Linked DNA regions of Drosophila melanogaster. Changing the gene in region 2 together with the main gene of any one other region gives a genetic interaction. Each region holds a gene or a part of one and is shown on either strand. Other genes may lie near its edges.

Region 1 (10,144 bases), on a different chromosome or scaffold from region 2:
GAATGAACAAATCGTAAAATGAAGTATAAATATACAATTGAAAGTTTTCATAAAAATAATACAAAAAAATGATCATTTCCTTTTCGTTTCATCATCGTTTTTTGATCACAGGTTTTTTTTTCTTTCTTTCTTTTGCGCGATTATTCTTGTGCTTTTTTTTTTTTTTTTTTGTAGAAATAAATCATAAATAAATAAAATGGAAAACCCGATTGCATAATAAATGTATGTAAATAAAACTGTGCTCAAAATACCAAAAAAGTCGAATATCAAATTAAAATTAATGTGCACCGCAACTTTTCGTTAAGTGTACTTAAGCCAAACGAAATGCCGCAAGCGATGGAAATTTTGGAAAATATCTCTTACAAAGATTGAGGGGGTGAAAAAAAAGGAGGAAGGACTCCAAAAAAATGTTCGAGTTCCTACAAAACTAGAACTTAGTTCAACTAAGATGTGTGTAATGTGTAATGTGTAAGGACGCACTTACGCATCGGTATAAATATAGCTTAATGTTAATCCAATTGTTACACATTTATGTATATGGTTTAGTTCAATATATTTTGCCATTGGCCCATGCACACGTTTTTTCTCTCCGTGTCTGTTTGTCTACGTACAAGCGGCGTTAGTCTATCTATCCGTTTGATCCTCAAAAGTTCGTCCTCACTTCTGTGCTACACATTGCAATTTTCTAGCCACTCCTCTGGCACAAAAAAAAAAACAAAACAAATCACTGGACTAATTAGGGATTAACTTGATTTGTGAATTTCGCACAACATATTGCATTCGTTAGGAACAATTCGGTTATTATGAAATGCCAACCGCGGACAGAGGGGTTTTTTGTTTAGTTCTATGATTTCGTTAGACGGAAAGAATTCGGATAGGTATCTGTATCTCTGGGCCCTACTAATTTCACACATTAGCTATGGCTAATCCTCGCCTGCTGTTTCATCTCTTCGCTCTTCCTTTGCGTCTGACTTAGTCTACAGTTTTAATATAAAACAATGAGCTAATTAGGCGGTTCTCATCTGGCGGCCAACTCCAACAGCAACACTGCAGCACGGCGCACAACTGGGACTTTAGCATCGCTCCAGTTGCTCGCAGGATTGCGTCTGCGGCTTTTTGCCTTTGCGCTTCAAAGAGCGACTGCTGCCCCCCATCGCCAAATCGGTTTGATAGGGATCAATGGCACAGAACTCGGGTCCACCGACCATGTTGTGCTCCGCCAGCTTGCTGTACTTCTTTCGCGAGCGCGTAAAGAGATTGAAAAGGGCACGGATTTTGCTCGATCCAGCCGAGTGATGCTGGTGCTGGGGATCATTGTGGTCATCATGTTCATGGTGCTGTCCCTCGACTGGCGCCTCAACAGACTTGGATTTGGTTATGTGCTTGGGCCGTTGCTTCTTTTGGTTCTTGGTCTGCTGGCGCTGTTCCTGGGCCCGCAGCTTAATGACATCGGGATGCGGCTGAACATCTTGCATCCGACGCGTATTCAGTATGGAGTTCTCCTGCATGTGATAGCCGTTCACGGCTTCCGTAGAAGCAATGGACGGTGAGGCGGACGCAGTGGTGGACGATGAGGACAGCGATGGCGAGGCGGAGCGGTAGGTGGCGAAGCTAATTGAGGCACTGGATGTATATAGATCCGATCTGGCAGTCGTTCGCGGCGTGGCCACAAAATCGGGCTCTTCGAAACTGACGCTCTGGAAGGTCACTGAACTCTTGCGCGACGTGGTGGAGTTCTGGCGCATCTGACTGGCGGGCACTTGACACTCATCGTCGGCATCCGCATCTGCTGTGTCCACCTCCGCCGCCACCGCGTCCTCATCCTCTGCTTCCCCTTCCTCCTCCTGCCTGGTGAAGAAGCAGTGCCGTGGAAACTGCGAGCCGGAAAAGTTACGCTGAAAGCGTCCACCCTCGAAGGCCTCCTCCGCATCATCGCAATCCCTGGCAGTCAGCGGTGTGCTGGAGTTGTACATGGTCAGGTCGCCACTGGATTTGGAGTTTACCCTTTCGCTGCTGGCCATGGACATCTTTTTGATCACATCCCGATAGAAGGCATGGTCATACGTATTGTTATCCTCCGATGGCAGAGTTAACTGGTTGGGCAGTGCAAAGCTATTGCTACCGTTCGCAGGCGGATGATGACTGCTGCTGTCCAGCGAATGCTTCTTTCTGCCCACAGCTGGACTGTTGCCCAGACTGCCGCCAAAGCGATGCAGATGCACGGCACCACTGGCCGCCGATGAATTGCCGGACTTCAGGAAGTGAAAGCAACCGGTCGGACTGGCAACGGTGTCCGTTTCCGAGCTGTCATCCGTTACCAAATAGAGTGGTGGTGGCTGATAAGCAAGCGGATGATCAAGTCCGTACTCCTGGCTCCTGGCGCGATGGTAGATCTTGGCTGGGGATTGACTGGTGGTGCTGCTGTTGGAGTTGTTCCGGCCGTTTTGGAGGACAATTATCGTGTTCGGTTGGGAGGTCAGGTTAGTTTGATTGTTATTGTTATTGCTATTAATAGTACTAATATTATTTAGCTGATTGTTGTTGTTGGCGGAGATGCTGTTGTTGTTGTTGTTGTTGTTGTTGGTGGTTGTGGTGGTGGTAGTTGTGATGGTGGTGGTGATGGCTTTACAATTGCCAATGTTGTTGTTGTTGGGGCGCGTTAGTATAATGGGTATACCTGGGTACAACAATGGTGTGGCCGGCGTCCCACCAGCGCCTCCACTTCCACCCAAAATTCCCAAACCCGGCGGCGGTGTCAGCGAGGCCACCTGTTGCTGGTTCTGCTGCTGCTGCTTCTTGTCCAGATTCGGAGCACTCTTGCTGAATGAGGAGTGAGTTGAGGTCTGGGCGGGCCATTCCGGCTGACCGCCGCTCAGTTGCGAAGGCAATAGGGATCGCTCCCGCTGGTGCATCGTCGACGGGCCCCACGTCTTGCCCTTGTGCCCATCGGTCACTGATTCACCCCAATGTCATCAAAATAATACGGAACATAAGAACATAACGAAGAAACCAAAGGCAAATCAATAAAATATACAAAAATTAATTCAAAAATAATGATAACAAAAATATGCAAATAATCTAGTTCAATTTGTCCAACGATACGAGGTGGTATCTTACATTCCCATGGCCATGACGTCTAGTCTCCTGTTCTAATTTTGGGTCTACTTAATGCCTAATCTTATCTCAAAGACCTGCATAATGCACTGAATTCTCATCAGAGACATACGTACATAGAGTTAAGTCTAACAAATATACCATAAAACCATGATTGAAAAGTATAATTCATCATAGGACTGTACTATATATAATACCCTCAAATTAATCAGATCTCTGGGATAGACAAAGTACTCACGTGCCACGATGCGCAATCCGGAGAAGGAAGGTGATCCCGGCTGTTCCGCCTTGTCGCGTACAGCCGTAATCGTGTGCCGGAAGCCCGTGGGCAGCGATATCTGCAGTGGTTTGTTCTAAAAGATAGATATAAGATATGTTATGCAAGATTTTTTTTTGGCTAATTTGACTCACATACCTTTTTGCCCTTTTTGTGTTTGCGTTTCGATGGCACCGGCTGCAACATGACAAGCTCCCGTTCGATCAACACTCTTTCACGCTCGCGCAGATTCTGCTCCCGGATCTTCAGGAGATTCGCCTTTTCGCGCTGCTCGTTTTGCACCCTGAGCAGCTGCTCTTCCTTGTTGCGCAGTTCCTGTCGGGATTAAAAGGGATAACATGGTGGAACGTGGCGGGTTAGTGTGGGCTAAGCATGATCACTGTACACGGGGACATGTGCTAGAAAATAGCATTAACTAGGAACTAGAAACCATGCAGCTGTTGGCTTGTGTGCGGCTCTATCGTGGGAGTTATCCAGCCAATAATAAAAAAAAAACAGGATAACTTTGGGTAAAATAGAATAGAGTAAAGTAATGTAGAATAGAGTAAAGTAATGTAACGAAACGAAACGAAACAACAGAACGAAACGCAACGCAACGCAATTGAAACGCAAACGGCGGGCAAGAGAAACCTGTTGGACGCGCTTACCTCTTCGATGGTTTGGAAACGCTTAACGTCGTTGGATGTTTTATTGTAAAACAAGGGAATTTTGTATTGTTTTGTTTTGGAGAGAGAGTATATACCAAATTATTAGAATTTCATCAACAACGACCAAGTGGGAGAAAGAGGGGAACGACTATGGAAGAACTGAAGGGCGCGGCGTAAGGCCAACAAGGAACGGTCTAGAAACGATCTAGAGCAACTCAAACAGGTAGGGGGAGTTTATATTTTCAGTTTGCCTGGCGTTTTCCAGACAGTTGGTACCTTTTCTTTTTCGCGCAAATCGTGTAGCACTCCAGCGATCTCCTTTCGCCAGCATTCCTGCATGTAGTGAAACGACTCCTGGGGCGTTAGGGTGAATTTGGAGCATGCGATGCTCTCCAGCTGTTTGAGAATCTCCTTGAAGCCCGGTCGCTTGTGCGGATCCGTTTGCCAGCAGCCTGCGGGATTTGGACATAATGAAATATTACAATAATATGTATAGGATCATTGTCTATTGCGTTCACTTACTCTTCATCAGGGCTCCCCACGTCTCGGGGCAGGTTTTTGGTATGGGCAATGTCAGCGTGTTAACAGCCACGCCATAGGCCACGGACAACGGATCGAAGCCCTTGTAGGGCGTCTCGCCCGTTATCAGTTCCCACAGCAAGACACCGTAGCTCCAAACATCGGAGAATCTGGCGGGTAAGGAGTTTTGTTAGTTAGGAAGACAGACGACAGAGTGTGAGAGAAATGGAGCTCACTTGGAATAGGTGCTAACGCTGATGACCTCCGGTGGCATCCAAGCGTACGTGCCCGCCGCACTCATCCTCTGCGTGTTGTACATCTCCCTGGCCAAACCGAAATCCGTGATCTTGAGCGTCTTCTGCTGCAGATGATTGCCCTCGATGGCCTCGTAGATCAGCACATTGGAGGACTTGAGGTCGCGATGTATGATCGACATGGGCGCCTCATTGTGCAGATAGTTCATGCCTCTGGCTATCTGAATGGCCCAGTTGACTAGTACATCGGGTGGTATCTTGCCAGCCAGTATGCGATTGAGACTTCCTCCCCTGGCATACTCCATCACCAGACAGAGTTTGGTATTCAGACATACTCCTCGCAGGGCTGCTATATTTTCGTGCTTGAGGGCCCAAAACAGTTTGGCCTCCTGCAGGACATTGTCCCGCATCCTCTGCATATCATCCTCGCCCGTTTGATGGGCAATCTTAATAGCCACCTCCTCGCCATCGTAGTAGCCACGATGGACCTTGCAGAAGCCACCGGAGCCGATAACTTCCTTGATGTCCAGCTCATTGTATTCGATCTCATGCGGCTGGATGTCGCCAATGGCGGACGAGACATTCAGTTGCAGTGGGTCCTCATCGGTGACAAAGTCCTTGGGAAAGACACCGACCTGCAGGAGAAAGATTGGGGTTTAGTTCAATGGTTCATTGTTAGAAAGGTAATCAATCACCTTATCTCCAATCTTGCCGGTCCACCAGCCCACATCGCCAGACACCTCGCTGTCCGTGGACAGGACCACAACGATTTCGCCGCGTCGCAGTGTCAGCTCATCCTCGCCCTGGGCATCGTAGTCATACAGCGCGGTCCACAGGCTGCCATCGCCCACCTGGGTCTCGACTTGCTCTAGATCTGGTATGGGAATCTCTGGTATCTGCGGATGATGCAGTTGCTCTAACTGCTGCTGCTGCTGCTGCTGTTGCAGCTGCTGCTCCTCGCTGATCGGCAGCATGTTGGTGGTGTCCAATCCTCGGGAGACCTGCGAGGGCATCAGAGGCGCACAGTTGGCGACATGGAAACCATGAATCTCTTCTTTGTTTTTGTTTTCTGCTTCTTTTCCTTTTTTGTTGTTTTCTCTTTGCTTCCTTCGCTTTTTAACTTGCTTTTGTTTCGCTGTGTGTGAAAGAGAGATAAAACCGCAAAAGGGGCGAAGAAGAAGCAGCAGCTTAGTAATATTTGTTGCCAAAGGGGGTGGGGTGGGGTCAGCTTACGGGTAAGGATGTTGCGGCTAATCCTGCTCTCCTGCCCACCGGATTCGGATTCTCCACTCTCCTTGTGTCCCACTGTCCGTCCGTCTGTCCGTCCGTTGACCACACGCACAAGAGCAAAAACAATAGCAACAGCGAGAACAACAATCACAACAACAACGGCACACAATCAGACAACACGGTACAAAACACACACACACGCACACGCGCTGCTGCACACCATGGTCGCTCTCTCGCAGTCGCAGTCGCCGTTAACGTCGTCGGTTATTTTGATCTATCCTTGATCCTGTGCAATCGGTTATATCCGTTTTATTAGCCCGTTTCTGCATATGTTTTTTAAACACATATGTATTAAAAAAAAAAAACTAGAGTTGCACTGTTCAAATGTGAACTAGTTTAATTGAACTGGTCTTTGGACCCAGCCGAGTGAACTGGTTACATTTGCGGTTCACCTGGGATTTTGGTTCCAGTTCGTTGGCATAATTTTAACTAAAATTGTGATCAAGGTAGTTGTTTAAATACCTTTATATTGGTAATTGTTAATATTTGTGGTAGAACAAGGTTTTGTCGATCATTTTGTTGTGGCTCACATAAACCAGTTGCTGCATTTATACTAGTTCCATTCGCAAATGTACTAAAAAATGCCATCAAAACGGTGTTGGGCAACGCAAAATATTTGGTATTTCAAAATACCTTATTCAGTATTTTCAATATTGGTATTTATCATGTCGATTATTTTATTGACCGTTAATATTCAAATTTGAAATGTGCTTGAAATGTAAAAATTTTAGTATTTAAATCCTATTAACATACATGCAAAACTCAAAAGCATTGTTGATGTGTAAATTTAAATTAACTGAATTTAAAGTACCGTAAACCAGAACGATTGCATTAATTGAACTTCTTCAGTTTTTAACAACTTAACAACTTAATATTTAATCGAATAAATAATTGAACTTAGTCGTTATCAATGCAAACTGAAAATTATGCTACCATCAATGGGGCTATTGTAACACTTGCATTCATTTAAAACTATTAAAGATTGAATATATCGAATGTCATGCACTTCGATTAAATCACATAATGTGAAATAATTATTTAAAATCACGTTTCAAATGGAATGTCGCTGTCATATGTTTTCCGTTTTGATATTCGGCTATTTCGTGATGCGCATGATTTTTGCAGAGAAGTCGGGGAAATCCATGGAAAAGGGGGGCTTACAGCTGCTGCTGCTGCTGCTGCTGCTTTGGCCGCTTTGGCTGTTTGGCCTGTTTTGCCGATGCGGATATGGCCTGATGATGTTGCTGTTGCATCGCGGAACGGAACGCTGTGTATACTGTGTATCCTCACTACCAACACCACCAACCCCCCACCCACGCCACTGACTCTCTCGTCGGGCGCCCAACACGCGCCCTTGTGTGGGTGGTGGGTGGTGTGTATTGGGTCGGTGGTGGGTGTTAGTGGCTTGTGGATGCTGGGTGGCCTAGTCCATGCCATGTGTTTAGTAAGTCCCCTCCCTCTGCTACGCTCCCTTGAAAAGTTCGGCGGCGCTCGTGTCCTTTCGGCTGCGACGCTGCGCCGTTCATCCTTTTGGTCCAGCGTCGGCATCGCACAGTGGAATGGAATGCTAATCAATCGCTCAAAAACCATAAAAATATGACATTTTAAAGAGTTAAGCCGATAATTTAAAACAATAATTAACTAATTGGTTGTAATTTAGTGTATTTTATGCATCTCAACATCTTTATACACATGTTTATGATATTTCAAGGTTTTATTGCTAAAAAATGTACAAGCAGCGAGTGCTAGAAACATAGCGTAGATAATTTTCTTCACATTTATGTTGCACAAATATTGTAATATTATTAACCAATTTTGAACATCTAATTATGGTCCGATTGGGCCCACTGTGCTTCGGCAACAGAGCGACTCGTGCCGAGCCGATGGAAACCGAAACGAAACCGGGCTGCTGGCTGATGTGGCGCTACATCCGCAACTCCCGTAGTCGTAGTGACAGCCTTTGCCGGATCCGGAGCCAGGAGCAGAGCGGCGCAGGACACTACGGCCCAGGACCAGGACCTGTACCGCTGGGCAAACGCCACTCGCTTCGCCCGGAGAGGAGAGCAGTCTCGGCAGTGGTCGGCGAGGCTGTGTGCCAGCATCACCAGCAGCAGCAGCGGCAGCGGCAGCGGCAGCAGCAGAAGTGGCAGCAGCAACGGCGGCAGCACCAGGCTGTGCCACTCAGTTACGCGCAACATTTCAACGCAACGTCGTGGCAATTCCAAATCGGCGGCAGACGCGGGCGTGCGCAGCGCACGGGCGGATTGCACGTAATAAATCCTCCGGAACGGGCTAAAAATACGGCAAACGCAACTAATCACACACAATAGAAACCGAAAAGAGAGCTAACTCTTCGCTAAGAAAATCGTAAATTTTGCGTAGCGTCTTGCATGCGCCATCTTGCACGAAATCCCACGAATAATGTAGCAGAAACCGGAAACCGGACTGAAAATATACATAAATAATAAACTTTACGCACCAACTAATTTGAACACAAAATATAACCAAAAAATACAAAAAATTGCTCATATTTTTTTTCCGCCGCGTGCGCGTTTTTCAGTGTGTGTGTGTGTGTGTGCGTATGCGTGCGTGTGTGTGCGTGCGTATGTGTGGGTGTGATTTCGCGCGCGTGTGTGTGTCGCTATTTTCTTGTTGTTTTTTTTTTGGGTAACTTTTTTTTGCCGTTCTTTAATCCCTGGCTGAAATGAAATACAACAAAATAATGATCGAAATGCGAGAAGCCAAGGCGAAAATGTAAAACGGGCAATGATGCAAACGCACATGAGTAAAAAAGAGTAAATAAAAAATTAAAAGAAAAAATATATATATACATATATTTATAGAAATTATCAAGTTAATTTTAAGGAAAACGAAACGCACAACAAAAAAGCCAAAATAGATCCAGTAATAAAACTAATTTAAAATAATCACCTAAGTCAACAAACTGCAGTTTCAGCAGCGCAAAACCGAGGTAAACTATTGGTTAATTAAAACGATTAAACATATGCTATTAACTTTAGGGCAGGGAAAACATTGTTAAGCATTAAGGAACAAATAACTGATAGAAGCAAAACCAAAACAGAAAAATAGAAGATATCAGCGAAAATCGTTCGCTTGCAGGCTGTTATCACTATGAAAATGTAAAACTGTTAGTCTAAAATTAGTTTGGCTCAAATCTCGCTGACTGACAGCTTACTTAATCTATTATTTAATTTCTTTACCGTCTCTCAATAGTTTCCTTGACACTATTTTCGCTTTTGCCAAAAGAAAAATCGGGGGAAAATCGGATGGCTGCCTTCACTCACACAAACCCACACAGACACACATTTTTACACAAAGGCAAACACATACATACACGCACACATATAGACATAAATCCATGTAAAGCTGTTGCCTCTGCCGCTGGTAGCCGCGACGCCGACTGCGACGCCGGCAGCGTGGTAAGCAGCGCGCAAGAAGTTGAGGTTATGTCTGCGCCGCAAAATGTGCTTGTGCTTGGGATCCAAAAAAACGCTGCGAAAGTGGCGAAAAACCGGGTGGATGGCCATCGGGTGGTTGGTGGCAAGTGGGCGTCGTTTGGTAATGGTAATGGGGTGCTACGAGCCATGCCCTTGGCATGGAAACGCTGTCGCCCCTTTTTTTTCGATGGGCGTGACTGCAGCATCCAAAGGATATTCGGCATCGCCTTTGTCCTTGTCCATGCAAAGCATTCATTGTACTATACTTTGCACACTCGAAAATGCGGATGCTTTACATATTTACCATTGCTGGCAAACTGTTTTAGTGGCTAAAGTCGCGAAAATCACTCGAAATTAGCTGTCAAGCGTTTAAAACTTGAAAGAGAGCTGTCCATAAGTATGCTATGATTTTTCTTGTGGCCTGATATCAGTGCCATTTGTTAGTCTTACACTTGCTTTTGTTTGGTTTCAAGAAAACATAGTTCTTTTTCAAGGTGTACACATATTATTTTTCATATTTAACTCATTATTTAAAAAAAAAAAACCTTGACTTTTAGGCAGCCCCTTGAGCACTTAAAACACTTA
Region 2 (6,813 bases):
GTTGACCAGGCCAAAAAGTCATTCAAAGCGATGGAATAATTTGATTACACACCAAATAAATAAATAATAATAGGTATTAAGGTATAACATAAAGGTGGTCATTTAAACATTCAAATTATTTATAAATTTATCTTAAATTGGTTTAATAAAAAAAAGGTTTTTAAAAAAGACAAATTAAGAAATTTAGAAAACGGTTCACTATCAGGTATTACCTAGTCAATTTATATCATTTCAACATAGCTGCAGTTGCGTTTACCCCAATCTACCCAATATATTCAAATATATCTATTTGCTTCATTCCATTTTATTACGTTGCCATTATCAGATCTTTGATTTAAGTCATAATTTTACAAATTGATACCATTGTTTTTGCATCGATACTTTCTCTTTTAAGCTTTCTTTTGTTTTTGCCATCAAATGGAAACTCAAATGAAAGTCAACATAATCTATAGTGCGTTTGAAAATTATATTGCCAAGTCCAGGATCTTATTATACTAATATTTAAATGGACTTCGTTAATGTTTTAAATTTCAAGAATATTTTACGAGTTAAACTTACAAAAATTCATTTATTTAAATGGGTTAATGAACAGTGAGGCCTCATTATTAACGGTCGATTGGTTTGCAAGACCATAGCTTTCCTAAACGGACTGTGCATTTACATTTCTATGGATCGAAGTGACTTAGTCACCTGGGTCCAAACCGATTTGCTCCCAATTACTAGTTATCACGGTTACTCATGTCCGAAAAAATGCGAATATAGATTGTAGTTGACCGAGAGTTTGGTGACTAACTAATGATGGGACTCCCTTCGGCACTAATTTGACTTTTTTCTGTGGATCCACCTGGGTATTGGCCAAAAATAGGAATACCAGGTAATGCTATTTCCATAGCGTTTCCCTTTTCCATTTCGTGGGTGAGTGTCAACAGCTGTTGTGGGCGTTCTAAAGACTATTTACCAAATAGGTGGCCATATATACTATACAAAAAAACTCACCTATTTGAACAGCTAAAAATGCGAATAGAAATCTGGCTATATCTGCCAGGCCGACAATTTATTGATGCCGCTCGAAATGGGATTAGGCGCGCGTGTAGGTGAACAAAATAGCCGCAAAAAAACTATATATCTATATTAAAAAAAATCGGTCTCGAAAAAAAGAGGGCGTTGCTACAAATTATAATGTATGTCAGGGTTTGCTCTTGGCACTTGTTTCGCCCGCCTCGAATGCGAAAGTTCAAAAGATTTTTGCGCACATGTCCAAGACGTTTGCTTGGGCTCTTTGTTTTAGGTTTTTGTTGGTTTTTTTTTGTGTATTATTTGCCCTGCTTGTTGTTTTGGCCAAAAATACTCAATTTTGCACGGCACCAGCGGAGGAGATGCTGTCATAGACGCGCCTTTTATGAGCATTTCGCGATGATGCCATGCGACTGTGGGTTATCTGGGGTTGTATGCTGGCCAAAAATCCATCTAAGCCTTATTAATTGCTGGCCACGGGTTGAGAACAAGGTGAAAACATTTTTAATTGCGGTTTCGGATAATCGCGGATTACACTTTTTGAACGTACTAACAATGGTAGCCATTATTTTGGGTATTTAATTGGAGGAGATAAAATGGGATAACATATTGTTGATACTTTTATACTTGACACACAAAACACAACAGAAGATGCAGATAAGAAAGTGATTCCTAGTTGTGATTGTTTCTATTTTCCTAACATCTTTAGTTGGGAAAAACAAAATTACTGCATAATTACAATATAGTTTGTAGTAATCAAATATTTGCTATTGGATAACTTGTCATTTCAGAAGAATTAGATAAGATAACAAAATACAAAACAATAATATTTGTACTTCAAATGGAAAACAATTTGGACTTTGTTAATTTGTGGATAAGGTTAAAGGAATGCAACAAGTGTAAATTATGTCCAATCCAATTGATATTTTAAATACATTGAAAGTAAGTATTGCGAATTTTATATATTTTTACTAAGTATTCAAAACATCCATATACTGTGAAATATTTTCGAAACGAATCATGTAGCTTAAATGGAAATAATTGACTTAAACAATGTGTTCGATTAGTCAGTCAATTGCTGTCCCACTTTTCAGACAGATTTTCCCATCCTCTAACCAAAGAAAATCTAGAACTCACCTCACCCACGAATTTTTGTTGTTTGATTGGCAACCGATTGTCGGTTGATTGACAAACTGTTTGAATGTGTGCGAGGAGGGGCAGTGACTTTACGATGACATGGCTAACGACTATTGTATACCCTTGAAACGTAACCTTCTTGCTTCTTAAGCTAATACTATTTAATAATAGCAATTGATTTAGAGAGCATTTTACCTTCGGCTTCAGTTTGAGGAAATTTTATTTATGTTTCTGCCAGCTGATAAGCGGCTGTCGATTGTTTTTTAGGCGCTAACATACGGACAACAATTCAATCAAGTATCCATCACAAACACACGCATTGACAGCCGTGCCCAGATAAGCAAATGGTTGGATAACAAAGGCCTACACAGATAATACCAATCGCAAACACAGGGAAGCATTCGGGTTTGTTTGTATGCGTGAATATTTGCTATAAAGTCGAAAGAAAAAAAGTTTATCGCACGCAAACAAAAACGACCTTCGGTAATGATGCCTTTGTATTTACCTAGCCATATTAATGTCGCGTCGGTTTCTTATTGCCAATTTGCCATTTTAAGGTACAAGTATATTTTCGAAAGCATACACGTTAAGATTCCGTTCTTCTCTTCCTGGGTTTTTATGTGCAACTGCTGCTGCATGATTGTAAATATTTTGGGATTTCATTTTATTTTTCCCTGGCACGCTTATTCATTTCCCGCCTGTTTACATTTTAATTGCTCGGTCAGCACTGGCGTTAAAATTTTTAAATCAAGAAGATCACAAAAGCGTTTTCCCTCGCATTCTCAACATTTGTATCTCTCTTTTTTTCGGTCAGCAAAGTACACCGCATATAGAGTGCCCTACAAAATCTGAGTACTAGTTAAATATTTATTCCAGTGAAATAGACTGATAAAAGGCCAAACAATTAATCTTAATACGCAGAAGTACCGTTCAAGATTGTGGAAAATTTCGAAAATTTTATACGGTGCTCTTAAAACATTCTGAAACAAACTGAAACAAGCGACCTAAAACTTATTTTTAAGTGTATTTATGTTTATAAGCCAAAATAAAATCCTACAAGTTTAAAACATTTTTATTGCTTAGATAATTTATTTACCAAAAAGTTATCACGAATGCAAATATACCTGTGCTGCAGTTACTGCTTCTCCGTAATTGCTTTCTGTTTTGTATAACAACAATAATATTTATTTCATAATATTTACTTTATTTTCCAAACAGTGCATTGTTATTTGGCCGGTAATGTTTACTAATTTGCGTGCTGTTGTCATTGCAAAAAATGTACCAACATGTTACATCTTTGTGCACTTTTGTTTCCGGCTTTGTGACAATTGAGTGCATAAACTTAATTACTGTCAAGATGTCACAACAGCAAGGCAATTGGATGATCGAGTGATATACTATTTGTTTTCAGAGATATAAGGAAACACTATGAAGACTCATTTCATGCTTTATGTGTTCGGGAAATAAAGTTCTTGAACATTTCATGTATACAACACTATTAATTATAGTATTCTCAATTATTCTCTTTTGATTTGTACGTTGTTTACTGCTGGCAGTTTTTTTTTTAAATTTCTTTAAAAATTACGTTTTTTTTTTACCATTCACAACTTTGGCCTCCAACTTAGTGTTTACTCCTTTTCTTGAAAAATGAGGCTAAGAAAGCCTGGGAAAATTACCTACACATCAACAAAGTGTAAACAATGATTTTTGTGAAAATAGACCAAGTTTTTTAACTCGCACACAAAAGCACGGAAATTGGCGAAAGAAACGAATTCAACTAACGGACGAAAAAGCTTAGGTCATTGACCAAAAAAAGAAATAACATTGCAAAGAGCGCTAGACTGCTCAGCTCTCTCTTACTATTTCTCTTTATAGTTCGAACACGTTTTCCAAGTAAAAATCCAACGACGCCACTTTTACCTGCGTTTGTGTGTGTGTGTGCATAGGTGAGTGAGCTCCCCACTCACCTATGCACACACACACGCGAGCGGTACAAAACCATTCTGTTATTTTCCTTGTTTACAAAAGCAACAAAACCAAATTGTTGTTATTGCTTTTGTATTGCTACCAAAGAGGCGCGCTTACGTCATTCATAATATTAAAGCGCAAAGAGAGAGTCTAGAACTACAACAACAGCAATAAGAGCACGAAAGCAATCTGGCACATGCTGTTTTTGTTGGGACTGAAATTACCTGAGGAATAATTTAACCATTTTGTGCATTTTGCGCTCTCTTCTCGACTATTTTGTTTAATCAATTCTTTACGGCAGCTCCATTGTTTTCAGACCGCACTCTCATTTGCGTGGAGCCGATTCACTTGGCACGTTTTAGAAAAAAACAAAACATCCTTTGGTTTATTACTCAGCAAGCATTTGGTTCACTGTTGTCACATTTTAAACAATTAGTTTATTGTATTTGCATTAGGAAACTGTTGGGTTCTCTTTAGATTTCTAAATTCGTCTCTGGTGTGACCAGCTGGTGGAACGGCGAAAATACTATCGAGTATTTGGTAACACTAATGCTTGTACAGAATGTTAACATTTGTGAGTGAATTTTGTAAGTTGGTTAACACCACGTAAAAACTGTGAAACTTATTTAATTAATATATATTATATATTAAAGCATGCTGTCTTTGCAGCAGTGCTGATATCTTTTATAAAAAAACAACTTAAGATGAAAAAGAGGTAAAATATATTGTAAGAGTTCACATTTTCGGTACCTGATTGTTTCCATATACACTTGGGTAAATAAGTACAAAATTCATTTGTCGAGAAAAAGTTACATTGGCACCATTGTATAACAGTTCAAAGTTAATGATGTTTGATGCTGCCAATGTAAATTCTTCAGATAACGAGCCTTGCCATCTTAATAGATTAGGAATACAAGCGTTGCCACCAAAATTTTAACGAACGTATACTCAGTTGTATTCGATGGTTGTTGTCTTGGGTGCATGTAAAAATTAGCAGAAGAGCACTTTTTTGTGTTAAAATTAACATTTCAATAACATTGTAAAATTCTGTTAGGTAACAGTATCACAAATTTAAATCTATGTTATATTTGCTCTGATCTAACTTTTGCAAATTATTCAAGATTATTTTAAAATCCTGACATCGTGGGTATATCTGCATTATTATTAATGAAATGTTGTATTAACAAAATACGGAATGTGGAAATTAGAAAATTTTTTCTTTAAGATAATAGAAAAATTAGTAAAATCTTAATGTTCCCTTTTTAAATGAAAAATGTCTTTTCGAATAGTTCTTATTTACTAAATGTATATAATTTTGATTTGGAAGTGCCACTTCCAAGTGATATCAAGAATTAAGTGCTTGTGGCTAGTCATATCTGAGAAAGTGCATGAAGACTTGTAATACTTTGCCGCCTCTGCTGATTTAAGTATATTTTTAAAAGACAATTAAATGATTTGCCTGCAAGTGTTGCAGTAATGAATGGACCCAGAAGTGTTTGCTTCTTAATTGGCAATTTCCTAATGGCGAAATGCGTTTTGCACCTACTTTAAATGCCACCTTGGCGTATTGTTTTGGCTTAATTTAAATTACCTGTTTGAGTAATGAACAGTCTCAGCCACGGGCTGCAACAATAATAACGCGACTCTCAACTCATTATGCATTGTTTATTGCCACTCAAAGTAGCATTTTCACCCTCTTTCCAGCATTTTCCGAGCACTGCAGCATTACTCTTAATGCATGTGCAACAATAGGAAACTCCACTTCCACTTTTCTTCGCCCACCAACTCTTCTTGTGCACTGATATTTGGCTTTTCGCAGAAACAGTCGGAAAAACAGCAGCCTTTTCCTTAACATTTTCTTGTAAATAAATATCTATTAATAAGAAACTTACATAAATCATTTAAAAGGTGTGTATATATAAAACTATAAATTAAGAATTCGCTATTTATAAATAATTATGAATTGAATAAGTAAATCCCTTAAAATCATTTTGCTAGCAAAAATAGCAATTCAGTTATTGAATGGCCCCATTTTCATCTAAACTGGGATTTTCCCGATAGCTTTTCCTCGCAGCAGTAGGATCAGTGCAGTCACCGGATTTATATTGGCACATCCAGGTGTTCCTGGATGGCAAGTCAAGTCTGGCACTTCATTATGCACATTAAGATACAAGTTCTTTTCGCACTGACGAGGTGGTATCTTAACTTAATTTAACCAACTAGGGGCCAGCGGGCGGTCCTCTGAGGGGGCGGGTTTTCCGTGTGTGCCGCTAATGGGCTTAATAAAAAATGCAACATTTTGATTTAATTTAATTGAAATTCACGCCACTCGAGCAACTCCATTAGGCAGAAACGTGTCCGACGTCAAGGATGCAGATGATGGCAGCGTCGAGGAAATCAAATTACCCAGCGGCAGTGGTTCTAGTGTGCGAAGAGGGAGGCGGGGGTGGTATGCCGCAGGGGGCGGGACTGTGGGCGTGGCCGTTGCCGTGGCTTGTAGCAACTCAAATAAATATTGTCAAAACACTTGTCAAATGGCTAAACAATGGAGCTGGGACGTGGTCAGAGCACGGTGCACTCTTCTTTTCCAAAAAAGGGCGATATCAATTGATACTACACTTCAAAAAATTATGTTTTAAAAAGTATTTTTATCAGAATATATTGTGCCTGTCAATATCCAAGATTAATACCACA

Evidence for each region. Genes that interact genetically often act in the same process or in processes that back each other up.
Region 1: of raw (region 2) and slpr, changing one suppresses a phenotype caused by changing the other (phenotypic suppression), as found in Drosophila melanogaster (one study listed by BioGRID).

Annotation. Positions count from the first base shown.
Region 1 is NC_004354.4:8,170,509-8,180,652, forward strand, and holds slpr (slipper), read right to left. Parts: upstream 6,678-10,144; 5' UTR 6,045-6,677; intron 5,947-6,044; 5' UTR 5,786-5,946; coding exon 5,507-5,785; intron 5,447-5,506; coding exon 4,794-5,446; intron 4,728-4,793; coding exon 4,561-4,727; intron 4,491-4,560; coding exon 4,315-4,490; intron 4,060-4,314; coding exon 4,039-4,059; intron 3,707-4,038; coding exon 3,530-3,706; intron 3,468-3,529; coding exon 3,353-3,467; intron 2,954-3,352; coding exon 1,074-2,953; 3' UTR 171-1,073; downstream 1-170. UniProt on the Drosophila melanogaster protein: Activates the JUN N-terminal pathway during dorsal closure.
Region 2 is NT_033779.5:8,736,042-8,742,854, forward strand, and holds the start of raw (raw), read right to left. Parts: upstream 4,620-6,813; 5' UTR 4,373-4,619; coding exon of another isoform or gene 4,344-4,372; intron 1-4,343.